2 linked regions of the Lonchura striata genome follow. The protein of the gene in region 2 purifies or fractionates together with the protein of the main gene of each other region. This does not show direct contact. Links are inferred from orthologs where the notes say so. Each region holds a gene or a part of one and is shown on either strand. Other genes may lie near its edges.

Region 1 (7,850 bases), on a different chromosome or scaffold from region 2:
TACCAGAGACATCTATGCCCTCCTTGGAGCCAGATGACTCAGTCACCTTTATTTGCAGGCAAATTTGCCTGCAGATCCCAAGAACTCAGCTGAAGCCACAGTGTTCTGGAAAATACCATATTCTGATCATACTTCTGTTTTCCCAGAAATCCATCTCACTATTCACAATTTTCCAGAACTCCTGTCAATTTATTAGCACCATAATCACCAAGAAAAGAAATTACAGCAGAGAATGGATACATTTTGCTGAAAGTGAGAAAGGCAGACCATATAAAGGAGACAGCTGTGTAGGCTTAGCTCAAAACCAGACACTTTGTTTTAGTAATAAAAGCTCTCCTGTCTCCCATAAAATTTATGTTTGTACAAAACTCCGTGTAGATAGGTATTTCATAACTGCTCTCCATGGTTAGAAATAACCACCAAAGCCTTTCAGTCAACACGTTTCTGTGTACATCTTAAAATAGGTCAGCCTAACTTGCACGTAGTAAAAATAAATTAATTAAATTATTATGCAGTTGAGATTCATCATCCATGGTAAACACAGCACAGAAAAACAAGCCTCTCACAACAACAATTAAGTCTTGATTCAACTTTCAAGCCTATTTCAAAATGTCACGGAAGGATTTTTTTTTTTAGAACCTGTAACTCTCTTTGACAGTATCCAATTGAAAATGACTGAACTAAGAGCAAGAAAGGAAACAGATTTGGTTTTGGCTGGGACCAATTTTGGACCCTTCCTGCATCATTTTAACACTCTAGGGAGAAAGAAACCAGTCTTACCAATATCCAAAGACTTGCCCTGCTTTGGGTCAGCCTGAAGCTTGTTGTAGTGTATTGTCACTTCTCCCTGCAGAAAGAGCAAACCCCAAACTGCTGTGCTGGAAGCAGGCAGCAGCGGCTCCCTTTACCCAAGGACAATAAGCTGCCAACTAAGACCCAGAAGCTCCAGTGGTCCCCTCCTACCTCTCACCTTTACCATCTGTATCATCTTGGCCACCTCCACTTTGGTCTTCCCTTTGACGGATTTCCCGTTGACCCCAGTGATTTCATCCCCAGCTGCTACGGTGCCGTCTAAGGCTGCTGGAGTGTTATCGAACACCTGCGAGAGAGCACAGGCAGTCTGCAGGCAGGAGCAGGGCCCACGCAGAGCTACAGAGCACAAACCAAACAGCTGCATTCCTCCCACTTAATTCACTTCTGCTTTGTCCATGGTGAAGCTGCAGTCTTCCCCCTTCCCTAACCAAGAGGTGGGCTGATCATCTTGTTCCCTCAGGAAGTTCTTGCCCCTAAGATGTGCCTCCTCCAGCATAGGATTTCCTGGCAGTGGGAGTGTCACACTGTTCCCCTGTGAATTCTAACATGCTCTCCAAGGAGAAGGACTATTCTAGAAGTCTTAATTTAATTCTTCCACACCTAGTAGCTACTAGAGTAAGGAAAATTTTTCACTGGAAAGTGAGATGTCATCTCCCACAAAAAGCATAGGGCTCTCTTTCCACACTTCTCATCTCTCAGGCCAACACTGTTTTAAAAAGATGGCTTATTTATCCTCCCCAGGTGCCCACCTGGACAATGTAGAGACAGGGGCAGTACTGTGCTCCTCCTCCAATGCTGATCCCAATCAGATTCTGAGAGTCCTTCTTCAGGGTCACTGTCCCAGGTACAGTGGGGATACCCCTACAAAGAGAAAGGAATAACTGAACATAGGCAGAGCTGCCCGCATATGAAACAACTCTGGTATCTGAGTCAGTATAAATGGAGAACATCATGGACATTGCACATCTGAATTCATTCCTTCACTTCTGCCACAGAGCTGGGCCAGCCCAGGAGACTTTCTGTGCCATCTTTTTCTTGGGATTGCATGCAAGGATTACAGGTGGAAGAGACACCCTCATCCATTGCTAGGCACTGAGGAAACACTATCATGCTTTAGTGTTTCACCTGCACTTAGTGCTGGAGTGAGAGGACAACTTGCACAGCATAAATGTGATGCAAATCAAGTGCTCTATGTTAAATGCAAGGCAGTCACTGCAGAGCAATACAACTATTCTCCTCTGCTCACCAGCACAGCAATGCCTCATCCCCACTCTCCAGAGGGAGCAAGAAATCAGTATGGAACAGGAAGGCTGATGTTCAGCACACAGTGTCATACACAGGTAAATTTATCAACTTTCATTAGGTCTTGGCTGCGAAGCTAAATTCTATTATAAGAAACACCAGGAAAAGACAAGAGAAATACTCACAGCTTATCTTCCTCAATATCATAGTCCAAATCTGCAAACATTGTTTTGGTTCAGTGGAATCTGTTTGTCTGAAGCTGTTTATTCCAAACTCCCTGGGAAGAAAGAACAGAATAAACCAAATAAAAGAATGACTGCAATAGGGGAAAAAAAAAAAAAAAAAAAAACAACAAAACAAAACACCAGAGAACAAGCCTGTGACCTTTATCAGTCTCCTTTTTCTTTTTGGAATGCCACATTGTCATCTCTGCTCTTATATCAAAAGATGAAAAACGAGTGAAGTGTTCCTGGTTCTCTGCTGTGCATGCAACAGGATAAAGTCCTCGAGTTTGAATGCTGCACGTCCCAAACCCAAGACTGACACACGTGCACCATTTCCAAAGCACACAACAAAACGTGTTCCCTTCCCGAAGCTGCTCCTCCGCACGCTCGACCTTGCACCACAGCTGCTAAAGACACTCATTTTTATCCCCGACATCCATCGCACACCTCCGTGTCCTGGCCTTCACAGCAAGTCACGTCACTCCCTGACATTCACCGCCTGTCTCGGCAGGCCGTGCTCAGCGAGCCTCCTCACTGCCCCATGCACAAACCTCGCCTCCATTTACTTTCGGGCACTAATTAGCTGGCACCTTTGGCTTCCGCCCACCCTCCCAGCACCCAAGCCACGGTGACGCCGTGAGGGTGGTCGCCTCCACCACGCCCGACCCTGACGGACCGGGGCTTCACCGACAGCTCAGCGTGCCGGGGCCGGGCAGGGGCTGCGGGCAGGGCAGGGCAGGGCTGGGGGCAGCCGCGGGGGCGGCCCTGCGGGCCCCAGGCTCACCGGGAGCGGCCGCGGCGCCGTCAGCCCCCGCCCGCCGCGTCAGCGCCGGCGCCGCCCGGAAGCGCCGCCCCGCCCGCCGCGTTGCCACGGGCACCGGGCGGCCGGGCCTGGCCGAGCGCGGGCTCAGGGCCGCTCTCTGAAACCCCCCCTGCCGCGTGCGGAGCGGGCTCTTCGCCCAGCTGCACCGGGGGAGGTTTGGGTGGGACGTCAGGAGGAATTTCTTCACGGGAGGGATGGTTAGATATCGTAATGGGCTGCCCAGGGAGCTGGTGGAGTCACCGTCCCTGCAGGTGTTTAAGGAGACTGGACACGGCACTCGGTGTGGCGGTCTGGTTGACGTGGTGGTGTTCAGTTGGACTCCGTGGTCTCGGAGGTGTTCTCCAACCTAATTGATTCGGTGATTCTGTGAAATTGCGTGGCACGATCACAATCGGCAGTGACCTGAGGAAGCATCGGATGCCAGCGGATGTGGGAGCCTGTCAGCATGCTGTGTGCAAACCCCCTGCACCGCCGTGTGTGCAGGATCGCCGGGCTTCCACATGTTCTTCTCCTCTGCGATCTATGTGGGGGCACTGGTTGGCTGTTCAAATGGTTTTCCTGCCTCCATCGTGACACCAGCTCTGGGAGAATGCTTTGATTTCCCAGAGAATTGCGGTTGCCTTGTTGCATTATGGATCATCTTTTCCAATTGCTCCTGGCTTCTGAGCAATACCAGGCTTCCAACCCCAACTTACTGACACAGATCAAAAAAAACCCCACAACCCCAACATTGTATTCTTTGAACTGAAAACTCCTCCGTGAGTAGGAGCAAGGGCTGGCCATGGCAGTGACCTCTCCTGCTGGCTGAGAGGCTGGTTAGTGTTTGTGGTATGCAGCCCCTTGAGCCTCTTGTCTGCATACATCAAAACACTGACTGAAGCCACCCACAATGCTGGACTACAAGGGGCAAGAGTGCGTTGTTAATAATCATTTTATAGTCCTGGGTCTAAGATGAGATTTATTTATGAGGGGAAGCTGAATGAGAAATGCAGTCCTTCAGGTGGGAGCTCTGAAGAAAAGAGACTGACATCCTGACCCTGGCCACTGACAGGAGCTTTACATCAGTGAAGCTCCCGAATTGATGAGCCAGACCCTGATCCCTGCATGAAGAGCTTGCTGGGGCTCAGCAGTACAGCAGCACTTGACTGTGGCTGCAGGTGATACAGACAAGACAGACCCAGACTGTTCTGAGCGGTTTTGCACAGCTAAAGACAGGAGGAATGGCTTGCAAGTTGTAGGATGGAATTACAGTGCAAGGAAAGGAATAAAAATCACTGTGAGGGTGGGTAAGCACTGCTACATCAGCCCAGAGAGGTGGTGGAACATCCATCCCTGGAGACAGTGGCAATTAGCAGGACAGATTCTGTGATGCTGCGGTCCTGAGAGAGGCCCCGGGGGTTGGCAGGGTCGGGGCCGTGTGTCCCGCGCTGTCCCCGCGCTGTCGCCGCTGGGGGTGGCAGGGTCGGGGCCGTGTGTCCCGCGCTGTCCCCGCGCTGTCGCCCCCGGGGGTGGCAGGGTCGCCCCCGGCCAGGCTCTATTTCTAAATTTGGAGCGCCACCGTGTGGTCCTGCTGCAGGAGGGGGCCTGGATTCAGGGTGTGCGGAGGTGGGATATTTATCCTATTTTACTGCAAAAGGGGGAAAAAGAGGTTTTCCACACAGGTTTTTCACACACAGAACACCTGCATAATGTGAATCCTTTCATTGCGCCAAAGGGGATTTCTCAGAGCCTTGTGGATTGTCTGGGCATCAGACTGTTTAAAAGAAGTTGCAGGACCTCATTTCTCCTGCTGTCTGCTTCTGCTACTAGAGCTGCAAGAGAGATGAACAAGCAGTGAATGTTTCCTTTGCTGGCATCTTCTGCCGTTCAAAATAAAGACAATAAGCAGAACTCACCCGAGGTGGAAAACACTGACAAGGCCAAAACCTGTAGGTCTGATGAGCCTTGTTTTTTGCTGCTCCAGCGAAGTGTGCGCATTGTGCGTGTCCTTCAGTACATCCCTGAAGCATCAGCCTTTGTACACGTATGCGGGCTGACCCTGCCTTTTGTGCACAGCTGCCACAAAGTGTCCAAGATCGATTGGATTCTCTCTGTGTGACATGGAGAATGAATCTGCATGTGCCCTAAAGCCATGTCTGTCTCAATAGTAGAAATCCATTGCCTGATTGCTTCCTCCCAAGGGGAGAAGTAATGAATTGCTAATGAAAATGGTTGCCTAAAATCCAAAAAAGTAAGGTTAGCCAGCATTTTTAAAAAATCCCAGGAAGCTGTTCATTTTCAAGAATAGATCTGATTAATTGTATCAAAAATTTGAAATGCAGCTTTCTCTTGAAAATTGCGTGCACTGCAGTCTACCAATATGGCTTTAATCAAGATGGCTTAGTTTGCACATTAGATTTTTCTAACCCCCAAGTATACAATCCATGAAAAGTTTGACTCTGAGAGTCAAAACTCCGTTCTGCTTGTCTTTCGTTAGGTGTAATAAAGAGTCTGCTAGCAGATCACACATTGCATGACTGGTTAGTTTCTTGGCACTCAGATGTATTTCTGCGTACTGGAGCTGTGCTGAATCTCATGTTTCTGGCTGCTTTTCTGCTACTGTTTTCAGTGTCAACATGACTAACTCTGGACTAACATCCTCCTTGATTGCTGTCCCTTGAGCCACGTTGTCTGTTTTTGGGGGAACTTTCAGTGAGTAAGTGTTGAGGTTGTATTCTCTGCCCATCACTGCACAGCCTGCCCTATCCCTACCCCATTCCTGCTGGGTGTTGCCAAGACTTGCAGCAGCCTCTATAGGGGCAGCTAGGACATGGCCCTGTTGGGGTGGAATAGGGGACTGCTTTCACTGGGTGTTTTCATTGTTCTTCCTCTGAAGTTCCCTTCATTTAGGATTCTCCAAGGTTTATCCAGAGGGAAGCTGGGGGAAATGGACAATGCTCCATAGTAGGTGCATTGTATTTCCACATACACCAAACATGTTTCAGTGCCCCTGGACTTCATCCCCACAGATTTCTTCTCCCAGACAAGGAGATAGGTCTCAGGGGCATCTGGTGCAGCTGTTACTTCTATGAAAGCATTACTCCCAAAATCAGTACTCGCAACATGAAAAACCTTAAAGGCAACTTAAAACCTCATGGGTTTTCTGAGACCCTGCAGGTGGAAAGCATGAGCTCTGACTTGGCTGCTAAGTTTTGCTTTGTAAGGCTATACTTTTATCCTTTCCAATCCAGGGGCATGACTACACTCTATTGCACAGCCCAGGGGCACTACTGGTCTGGCAAGGTGCTATCAAAGCTTGTGGTCCTTGGGATGAGCCCTTGGGATGTTGAGCTCCACAGCAGAATAGTGACAGGGCATATGGGGGACTACATCTCATGAGCAGTAGCAGAGTGAGGGGTGGGAAACAGGCAGAGACTTGCTCTCATTATGCATGGGTCTAACATGCCCAATTACCCCATCCTCTCCTCACCTCTGCAATGTAAAAGACTGTTGTTGAGAGTGGTCATAACTCATGGTGAACACCCTGCCTCCCCCTTACTCCTTTCACACCCACTGCTCTCCATTTTCCTTCCAGAAAAAAAATGTGTCTTTGATGAAATGAAATGGCTCAGTCAAAGAACCCCTCAAATGCTTGGGGACCCCTGCAGTTGGCCACCCTTGCCCACTTCCCAGCTCTATTTCTGGCCGAGTTTGGAGTTTAAGTGGGCTGACCTTGTGCCCTGCCTGCCCTGGGGGTCAGTGATGAAAGCGGATGGAGGCTTCACAGTCAGGTCTCTTGTGTGTGACTCTTTTGTTCCCAGGACAAGGGTGTGCAGTGCCTGGGACAGTACTTAATTGTTTGGGGGCACTGCTTTACCCGTCATGCCCTTCCCCGGGTGGCCCCAGCCCTTCTTGCTCATGCGTGGGAGGAAGGCAGCTTCCCCACTCAGGGTAAGGAGGAGGAAGCAGAGTCTGGATTGCTCGAGATAATTTCTGGCTATTTATCAATCTTTGTCATAAAGTTTGCAGAGTGCCAGAAAGCAGAAAGAGAAATAAAGAAAAAGGACTTCTCCATTTTGTGACTCCTGTCTGTCACTGGGTGTATCCTCCATTGTCCTTCTGTGCAGACAAGAGCAACATCACCTTGTCGCAGCCAGCTCCTGTCCATCCACTGTGCTCCATGGGATTCACCCCATCACTGAGACCTCCTTCTGCCCTTCTACAGATGTTTAATGAGGAAAGTCCTGCATCAGGCCTGAGTCATTTGGCTTAGTCCAAGTGGAGGCAATAGGTTCACACCAGGGAGGGCAGAAACTTTGTATTGATCTTGTGGGTGTGCAAGCCCAGGGCTGGATATATTGAGACTTCTGGAAAATTTTTTGTTTGTTTTTGTTTGTTTGTTTGTTTGATTGATTGATTGATTGATTGATTGATTGATTGATTTTCTTTTGCTAGATCTGAGGTGGCCACTACACCTGTCACGGCCCTGAAGACATGCAGAGGAGTAGTAGGTTTTCTGTAGGTGTGCTTGGGCAGGGGAAGTATGCTGGACAATCTGTGGGCATGATGATACAGAATTGAAGGTTTACAAAGCCTTGTCCAGTGGAGGTGGGTCAGCAGAGCTCAGCACAATCATGAAGGAAGCCTTGTACCACTCAATACTTCTTTGGCTGCCTCATTAGCATATTTCTTTTCACAACAGGTCCTTCTTCTGTGCTTCACATCTTCATTAGAGCTGGAGACTGGGGCAGGAACCTCCACAGCAGGCC
Region 2 (7,711 bases):
TTGAAAAGCGTGATACGTGCGGAGCCGGAGCGAGCGAGCACAGCAAGGAAACCAGACCGGAACACCGTGGGCTTTTCCCCCGTCCAATAAAACCGCCGGCTCAAATCTGCCTGCATGAACTGTCTGAGCGATTGTGAAGGATGTCGGAAAAAATCGCAACCTGCTTGCGGGTGATTCGTGAGCGGCAGGAAACACGGGGAGGCGTCGGGATAAGGGTCCGCAGGAATAATCCCGGATGCGCGGGAATTAGCGACACCTCGGCAGCGTCCTCCGCGTCCTGGCAGAGTCCTGGTGACCCCTGCACGGCACACAGGGACACGGCCAGCGGGTAAATCACCGTGAAGCTCTCAGCAGTACAAACAGGTTCAATTATAGGAGCGTAAACAGATCCTGGGGAGGAGGATGCGGCGGCTGCGGAGCCGTCACGGCGGATCATCGCCAAGGCTCCAGGGACACGCTGGACTGCCCATGGAGCTGCCCTGGCTGAGCCCCCCAAGACCCTCACCCACGGAGCTGCAGGGGGGTCCCGGCTGAGCCCCCCGAGACCCCCGGCCAGCGTGGCTGCAGGTGGCCTCAGTCCCCGGGGCAGCAGCACCGACACCCAGCAGGGCTGGCTGGGAAGAGCTCGCCCAGGAAAGCTTCGAGAGATTAATAGAGTTTAAATGGAAGCGTTTGGAGAGGAGATAAGGCTCATCTGATATGAAATCATATGGAGCAACGGGATCCAGGGAGGCCCTGGCTCTCTAATGAAGTCCACTTAGCACATTACTCACTATAATGTGCTTTTTATTAAAGTCCTGTGCTGCAGGTGCTGAGTCTGCAGCTGGGAACACGGGGCTGCAATGGCACGGGCACCTGGAGTACCGGACCCCGCCACTTGAAGCAGCCGGGATGCAGCGTGAAAAAGGCACCTTCGCTTTCCTGTCTCCCGTCCCGTTTGATCCAGGGACGCGATTCTGGCATCACCCAGCGCCGCGGCATCACCGGTGCCCGCGGCTGGGGCTGGTGGCCCTGCAGGGACTGGGTGGAGAGGAGGCGGAGGTGGAGAATAATACAGAGGGAAAAACTCCTTTTTAATCATCAATTTTTCTGCATTAGAATGTGACATGCTAATCCACTGTGAAGCGTCTAATCTGGGGGATAAAGGGCCGGATAACACAAGCTGCGCCCGGCTTGGCTGGCAGAGCGAGCCGAGGCAAGGTGGCAGCATCTGATAAGGGGTGCAGGATTAGTCCCGGCACAGATCCCGCCTGCCCAGGCAATCCCACCTTGCTTGGCTGCCTCTGCTCTGTCTCTCGCCAGGGTCAGGGAGGGATCTGCAGCACTGGAGCTGTCCCAGAGCGGCTCATCCCGCCCGGAGCGGCGGTGGCAGCGCTGCCGGTGCCTCCAGCACCATCTTGGCAGCTCTGGGAGCTGCAAAGCACATCCCTGGGCCAAGACAACTGGAAAACCTCATTTTTCTCCCTTTCAGTTTGCACACCCGGGTGCGTGTGGGAGCAGGACAGCCCAGCTGTGGGGTCTCCATCTGCCCCAAATGTCCATTCCCATGCGCTGCTTTGGCTGCCTCATCCCACCGCTCATCCCATCCCTTCCTAGCAGCCAGCTCCGACCTCTGGAGCACCCCCAGGGACAACGTGGGCAGCTCAGCCTCGGCTCAGCCAGTCTTTGGCAGGGACGGGCAGTGCCCGTCACAAAACCGAGCGGGTCCAGCTCCCGGGGCGCTTTCGGCGACAGCATCCCCGGGGCTCGGAGACCTGGGATAACAGAGCTTGCAATGTTGTTTTCTCCTCGCCTCCTCGGGGATTGGTTTATCTCTATGAATAACTCCATCCCGGCTTTGATCTCCTCTGCCATTAAAGCGTGACAGGCTGTGAAATGTGCTGTTGCTGCCGTCAAATCCCGCTCCCGCTTCCCCCCCGCCGCCTCCGTGCTCCCCCGCTCCGGGAAACCTCCTTTCCCAGGCCCGTGAGGAGCTGCAGAGCAGCGAGCGGGGCCGAACCGCCCCGGGACAGTGGCCAAACACGGCGCTGGAGGCAGGAAAAACCCATCTCCTCCTCCCATCCCGCACCTCTCACTGGGGCGGGGAGGAGGGCACGGAGCATCCCCGGTCCCAGCGCCGGCTCGGGCGTGGCGGCATCACCCCAGCACCGCCACGGGGGCTGATGTCACGGCTAATTATAGCATCCCCCGTCCCTCGCCCCCGCCAAAGCTTTACCTGAGAGAGGGTAAAAATAACTCCCGGCGAGGGAGGAGCTGGAACGAGCCCAAGGACTCCTCCAGCATCTCCAAAACTCGCACAAACCAGGACGGCACCCCCCTGGCTGCAGCACACGGCTGCACTTTGTCCCCAGTCTGGGGGTCGGGACGCGCTCCCCTCGGCGCTGGTGCCGCCGTGCTCCGGGCTGCGGCTGTCCCCGGTCACCTTCACCCCGGCTCGGGTGTCGGCGCCGGGACAGGCGGCGGTAACCGGAGCCGGGCCCTGCTGCTGGGAACCAGCCCGGCGCACCCCGCGAGCTGTTGAAGCCGAGCGAAGCAGGTTAATGGCCCCAGTCGATGATGGAATGTTTTCATTACGGCATCTTTCTCGCTCTCTCCCTGCTGCAATCGCTCCCGAGAAGACACATTAAACCTCCCCGCGCCGAGGGAGCGGATCCGCCCCTCGCTCGCACCGTCAGGGACTGCCTGATGGCCTCGGCAGCTCCGCTCACCTGTGCGAGCCCTGCCGGGGCTCAACAACCCCCTCAACCTGCAGTTCCTCAATTCCTTTTCCCTTTTCCTCTGCCCTCAACAGCCGTGGCACAGGAACCCAGTGCCAGAGCTGGGAGCAGCAGAAATCCCAGCCCAAACCCGGAGAGCTCCTGCCTGCTCCTCCCTGTCCCAAGCATCCTCTGAGCCAGCTTGTGTGGGATCAGCCCAGTGTTCCCACAGGGCTGAGCCAGCCCAACTCTTCCAAAGCCCCTCCTGATGCTGTTACAGCCCTGCCCTGCAGCTGCAGCTCATCCCCACCGAAGACACAGGGCACCTGAGACCCGGCCCCATGTTCTGGTGGCTCCCAGCCACCCAATCCACCTTCCTGATTCTCTTTTCTAGGAAGAGTTTTCCTCTCAGATTCTCTGGGATGCTCCCAAAGGGTGTAACCTTGATCTTGGCCTGATGAAATTTCATCCCGTGCCTCTGGTACTCATCCCCAAGGTCATCCATTCTTTCCCCCAGGTCTCCAAGTGGCATCTGGCAGTGTCCCTCTTTCACAAGGGCCCGATTGAAGGGAACATTGAGCTCAGGGAGCCCCAGGATGGGACACCCCACTGTCACATCATGGATCACTGCCCCTGGCAGGGATCCCCAGCATGTTCCACTGGCACCACCTGCCCAGGAATCTCAGATAACTGTGCTGGTATCAGATCAGATTTTTACTGAGTTCCTGGCGGATTTGTTCTCCCAGTTTGTGGTGTCCACGTGCGCTGGGATGTGCTCAGGGTCCAGGAACTCTGCAGGGAAGGAGATGCAGCAGCTGAACTGAGGGCTTGGGGTGAACTTCTTCCACCCAGGCACCAGCCCAAAGCTCCCATCCAGCCCCTGCACTTCCAAGTGCTGCTGGATTTAGATTCTCCCCCGGTGCCGGGATGGGGCTGGAGATTGCTCTGTGGTCTCTGGATGCTTTTATGAAGTGCTGAGTACAGGAAAGCAGCAAACCACGAGAAGGGGCTGTGCTGTGCAGAGAGGAGACGCCTGCACTCCCAGCAGCTCCATCCCAGCGTCCTGCACCAGAGCTGCTCCCTGGGACCCCCCAGCCTGGCTGGTTCAGCAGCACGGGGCCTGGAGGCCATTCCTTGAGGGAAGAGGGGCTCCCCATGCCCCACTGGGATCCAAAGCATGAGGCGACGTGCCCAGCACTGACTGGGCTCTGCAGAAGGACTCGTTGCCTGGACAGCACCCAAACCCTGTGAAGACCAGCCCTGCTGGGAGGAGGACAGACCTCACACCACTGGGAACGCCGCATTTGCTGGATTCTCACATGCACACGCCGGTGCCCTGCGGCACAGGGGGACGAGCCTGCAGGGATGGGCACTGCCAGGGCAGGAGGAGCATCGTAGGAGCCTGAGGACACCACAGCATCCTTCCCCCCACGCGGACCACCGCTGAACCAGGACAGTGTCACGGGCATTTGGGGAAAACCTCTGGCTCCAGCTGCCCTGGGGATGACTGCAGAGAGCCTGGCATACGGCGGCTCTGGAGACAGCCGGGACCCAGCAGGGAGGGCCTGGCTGGAGCAGCCGCTTGGGCTGCCAGGGCCAGACCACTCAAGGATGGAGGGCACGGCATGGGGATGCAGCGCCGGGTACCTGCCCGCCGGCACACACCGTGTGCCCCTCGGGCGCCCAGGCAGCACTGGGAGCTCCCACGGTGCTTCTGGAGCCGGTGATGTCCCTGCTCCCTCCTGGCAGCCGGAGCCGGCCGGTCCCGAGGGGCCTGGGGAGCCCGCGGAACCGCCCCTCGCTCCTCCTCCCCTCCTGCTCCTGATATACCCTCCTCGCTCCGGCCCCTCCGAGCATCCCTCTGCTCCTCTCCCTCACTCCCGCTCGCCTTTCCCTTCTCCGTTTCTCCTCTCTCAACTTGCCCCTTCCCCCTCCCCTGCTCTCCTCAGCCCCTCTCCACCGAGGAACTGACTGAAGACCCCAGGCTGGGGCAGGGCGCGGGCCAAGACCCCCACACCAGAGCCAGGACCTCCACAGCTGGGACCCCCAGGCTGGGCAATGCCTCTCCAGATATTCTGCACCATCTCCTTCTCCAGCGAGGAAGCACCAGAAGATGCTGCAGCCACTGCGAAGGGAGAAGATGAAGCAGACGAGTTCCTGTATGGGCAGGAGGAGGATGAAGAGGACGAGGAGGACGCAGGAGCAGCCACGGACTTCGTGGCCTTTGCCAGCAGCTGCACCCTGCATGGGCTGAGCCACATCTTCGTGGAAGGCAGCCTGGGTGCCCGGCAGGCACTGTGGGCGCTGGCATTCCTCCTCTCCCTCTCCGTCTTCCTCTACCAGGTGGCCGACCGCATCGCCTACTACCTGGAGTACCACCACGTCACGCTGCTCAGCGAGGAGGACAGCCCCGAGATGACCTTCCCCGCAGTCACCTTCTGCAACATCAACCGTGTGCGGCTCTCGCAGCTCAGCCACGAGGACTTGCTCTACCTGGCCCCTCTGGTGGACTATGAGCCTGGGATGGAGCTGGGCTTCACCCCGGCCCAGCCCGGCCCCTGGGAGGAGGACGAGCCCCTAAATTTGTACGGGTTTTTTAACCGCACTTGCCACCAGCTGGAGGACATGCTGCTGAGCTGCAGCTACCGCGGCCAGCGCTGCGGCCCCGGGGACTTTGCGCCGGTGAGTAGCCCCAGGGTGGCCCGGCACGGGGAGCAGCTCCGGCGCTGATCGGTGCCAGATCAGGCAGGTGATGCTGCCCTTGGAGCTTGCTCAGGGACAGGCTGATATTTCAGCCCCATCTGCCAGAGCTGGGGACGGCACCGGCTGTGGAGATGCTCTGGTGGGACATGGAGCGTATCCCCGGGGCTGTGCTTGCTGAGGAAGTGCCTGGCACCTCCATCCTGCTGCCATCAGGGCTTGTGGGGCACCATGTGGTGCGAGCCCACTGCCCTCACATGTCCCTTGCCCAGGCTGGCAGCAGCTCCGTGGTTTTGGGGCCGTGCTGACTGCCGGAGGTGAGAGCTGGAACGGCTGAGCAGGGATGGGGGGGTCCAGGATCCTGTCCAGCCCCATCCTTTGCAGGGATGGAGGAGGGCTTGGAGAAGGGCGTCAGGCTGAGTGCCACCACCCTGGGGAGCCACAGCTGCCGTGGGCTCTCTGTAAATCCCTTCTGAGTCCATCCCTGTGGGAACATCTCCTCCTCCACCAGGGCCAAGATGAGCAGTTCCAACACTGAGAGATGCTGTGGGTCAGGAGCCTGGGTCGGACCATGCCCAGGCTGGGATGGCTGAGTTTTGGGGTTGGGGACGCTCTCCTGGCTCTGTGCTGTGGCTGCACACAGAGGGGCCTCAGCCTCAGCCCTGTGTCCTCTCCTGCAGGTCTTCACCCGCTATGGGAAGTGCTACACCTTCAATGCGGGGCAGGACGGGAAGCCCCGGCTCATCACCATGAAGGGGGGCACTGGCAACGGCCTGGAGATCATGCTGGACATCCAGCAGGACGAGTACCTGCCAGTGTGGGGGGAAACAGGTAACCCACTGCCCCAGTGGGCCCACTCAGCCACCAGCAGCTCCTGGGGTGCTGCCCAGCCCCTACTCACCTCCCCAGCCCCTTCCCAGCTCCCCAGACCACAGATCCACCTCCCTGAAGCTCCCTTCTCTCCCTCCTTCCATTTCTCATCACTTCTGGTCTTTTCTTTCCCTTTTCCTCTTTGTCTTTGCTCTTTGCCATGGCAACTCCCCATCATTTAGACACGCAGCCATCACTTGTTTATAAATAGAGTCAAATACTTTCCCTGCCACGCTCCTGGGTGTGGAGCAGGGGGGTCGGGGCGGAGCGGGCAAGGACATGGTGCAGCAAACAGAGGGACAGATGGATGGCCATGTGGATGAATGACTTGGCCCAGGGGAAGCTTGGGAGGCAGAAGTTGTGGTCCCTCTCACGGCAGGCTCAGCACAGCCCCTTAGAGCAGGGACAGTGCTGTGCTCACCTCCCTTCTCTCTGCCACAGATGAGACCTCGTTCGAAGCTGGGATCAAGGTGCAGATCCACAGCCAGGACGAGCCCCCGCTGATCGACCAGCTGGGCTTCGGGGTGGCTCCCGGCTTCCAGACCTTCGTGTCCTGCCAGGAGCAACGGGTAGGAACTGGGCAGGTGTGGGACGTCCCTCCCAGCCTGAGTTGCAGGAGCAGAGTCTCCTCACTGTGCCCCTGTCCCCATGCCGATGGAGGGGAGGACCCGGTCCTGGGGAGCAGTGCCACGAGGGTCTCTGTCCCCTGCCACACTGAGGGGGGTTCTCTCCTCACTCCTGGCTTCTTTCCCCTTGCAGCTCATCTACCTGCCGCCTCCCTGGGGCGACTGCAAGGCCGTGGCGGGCGACTCGGAGTTCTACGACACCTACAGCATCACGGCCTGCCGGATCGACTGCGAGACCCGCTACCTGGTGGAGAACTGCAACTGCCGCATGGTGCACATGCCAGGTGAGCCCCGTGCCTGGCCTGGCCCCGACCCAGCCCTCCGGTGTGCTCCCACCTGCAAAACGTGCTCTGTGTCTCCCCAGGCGATGCCCCTTACTGCACCCCGGAGCAGTACAAGGAGTGCGCGGACCCGGCCTTAGGTGAGGCTGCCCGGCCCCGTGGGTGGGACGGAGCCGCGGTGTTGGGTTTCTCCATCTCGTCATCCCCCTCTCTCCCCGCACAGATTTCCTGGTGGAGAAGGACAATGAATACTGCATCTGTGAGATGCCCTGCAACATGACCCGCTACGGCAAAGAGCTCTCCATGGTCAAGATCCCCAGCAAGGCCTCGGCCAAGTACCTGGCCAAGAAGTACAACAAGTCGGAGCAGTACATTGGGTAAGGTGCTGCGGGGTGATGGGGCCGGGTCTGGTGCTTCCATCCCAAACCTCAGCCTGATGCCACTTCTCTCCTGCACAGGGAGAACATCCTGGTGCTGGATATCTTCTTTGAAGCCCTGAACTATGAGACGATCGAGCAGAAGAAAGCGTACGAGGTGG

What was found.
Region 1: the proteins of ASIC1 (region 2) and PICK1 purify together in Homo sapiens (affinity purification with western blotting; 3 studies listed by BioGRID and IntAct, with this or other methods). This does not show direct contact. The link is inferred for Lonchura striata from reciprocal best matches to the Homo sapiens genes ASIC1 and PICK1.

The regions. Positions count from the first base shown.
Region 1 is NC_134607.1:23,619,052-23,626,901, reverse strand, and holds the start of PICK1 (PRKCA-binding protein), read right to left. Parts: upstream 3,111-7,850; 5' UTR 3,064-3,110; intron 3,060-3,063; exon of another isoform or gene 2,956-3,059; intron 2,954-2,955; exon of another isoform or gene 2,870-2,953; intron 2,838-2,869; exon of another isoform or gene 2,727-2,837; intron 2,716-2,726; exon of another isoform or gene 2,440-2,715; intron 2,333-2,439; 5' UTR 2,282-2,332; coding exon 2,241-2,281; intron 1,675-2,240; coding exon 1,563-1,674; intron 1,100-1,562; coding exon 971-1,099; intron 848-970; coding exon 781-847; intron 1-780. UniProt on the Homo sapiens protein: Probable adapter protein that bind to and organize the subcellular localization of a variety of membrane proteins containing some PDZ recognition sequence.
Region 2 is NC_134629.1:8,787,288-8,794,998, forward strand, and holds the start of ASIC1 (acid-sensing ion channel 1), read left to right. Parts: upstream 1-4,531; 5' UTR 4,532-4,754; coding exon 4,755-5,378; intron 5,379-6,076; coding exon 6,077-6,227; intron 6,228-6,707; coding exon 6,708-6,835; intron 6,836-7,025; coding exon 7,026-7,176; intron 7,177-7,256; coding exon 7,257-7,313; intron 7,314-7,396; coding exon 7,397-7,550; intron 7,551-7,631; coding exon 7,632-7,711. UniProt on the Homo sapiens protein: Forms voltage-independent, pH-gated trimeric sodium channels that act as postsynaptic excitatory receptors in the nervous system, playing a crucial role in regulating synaptic plasticity, learning, and memory.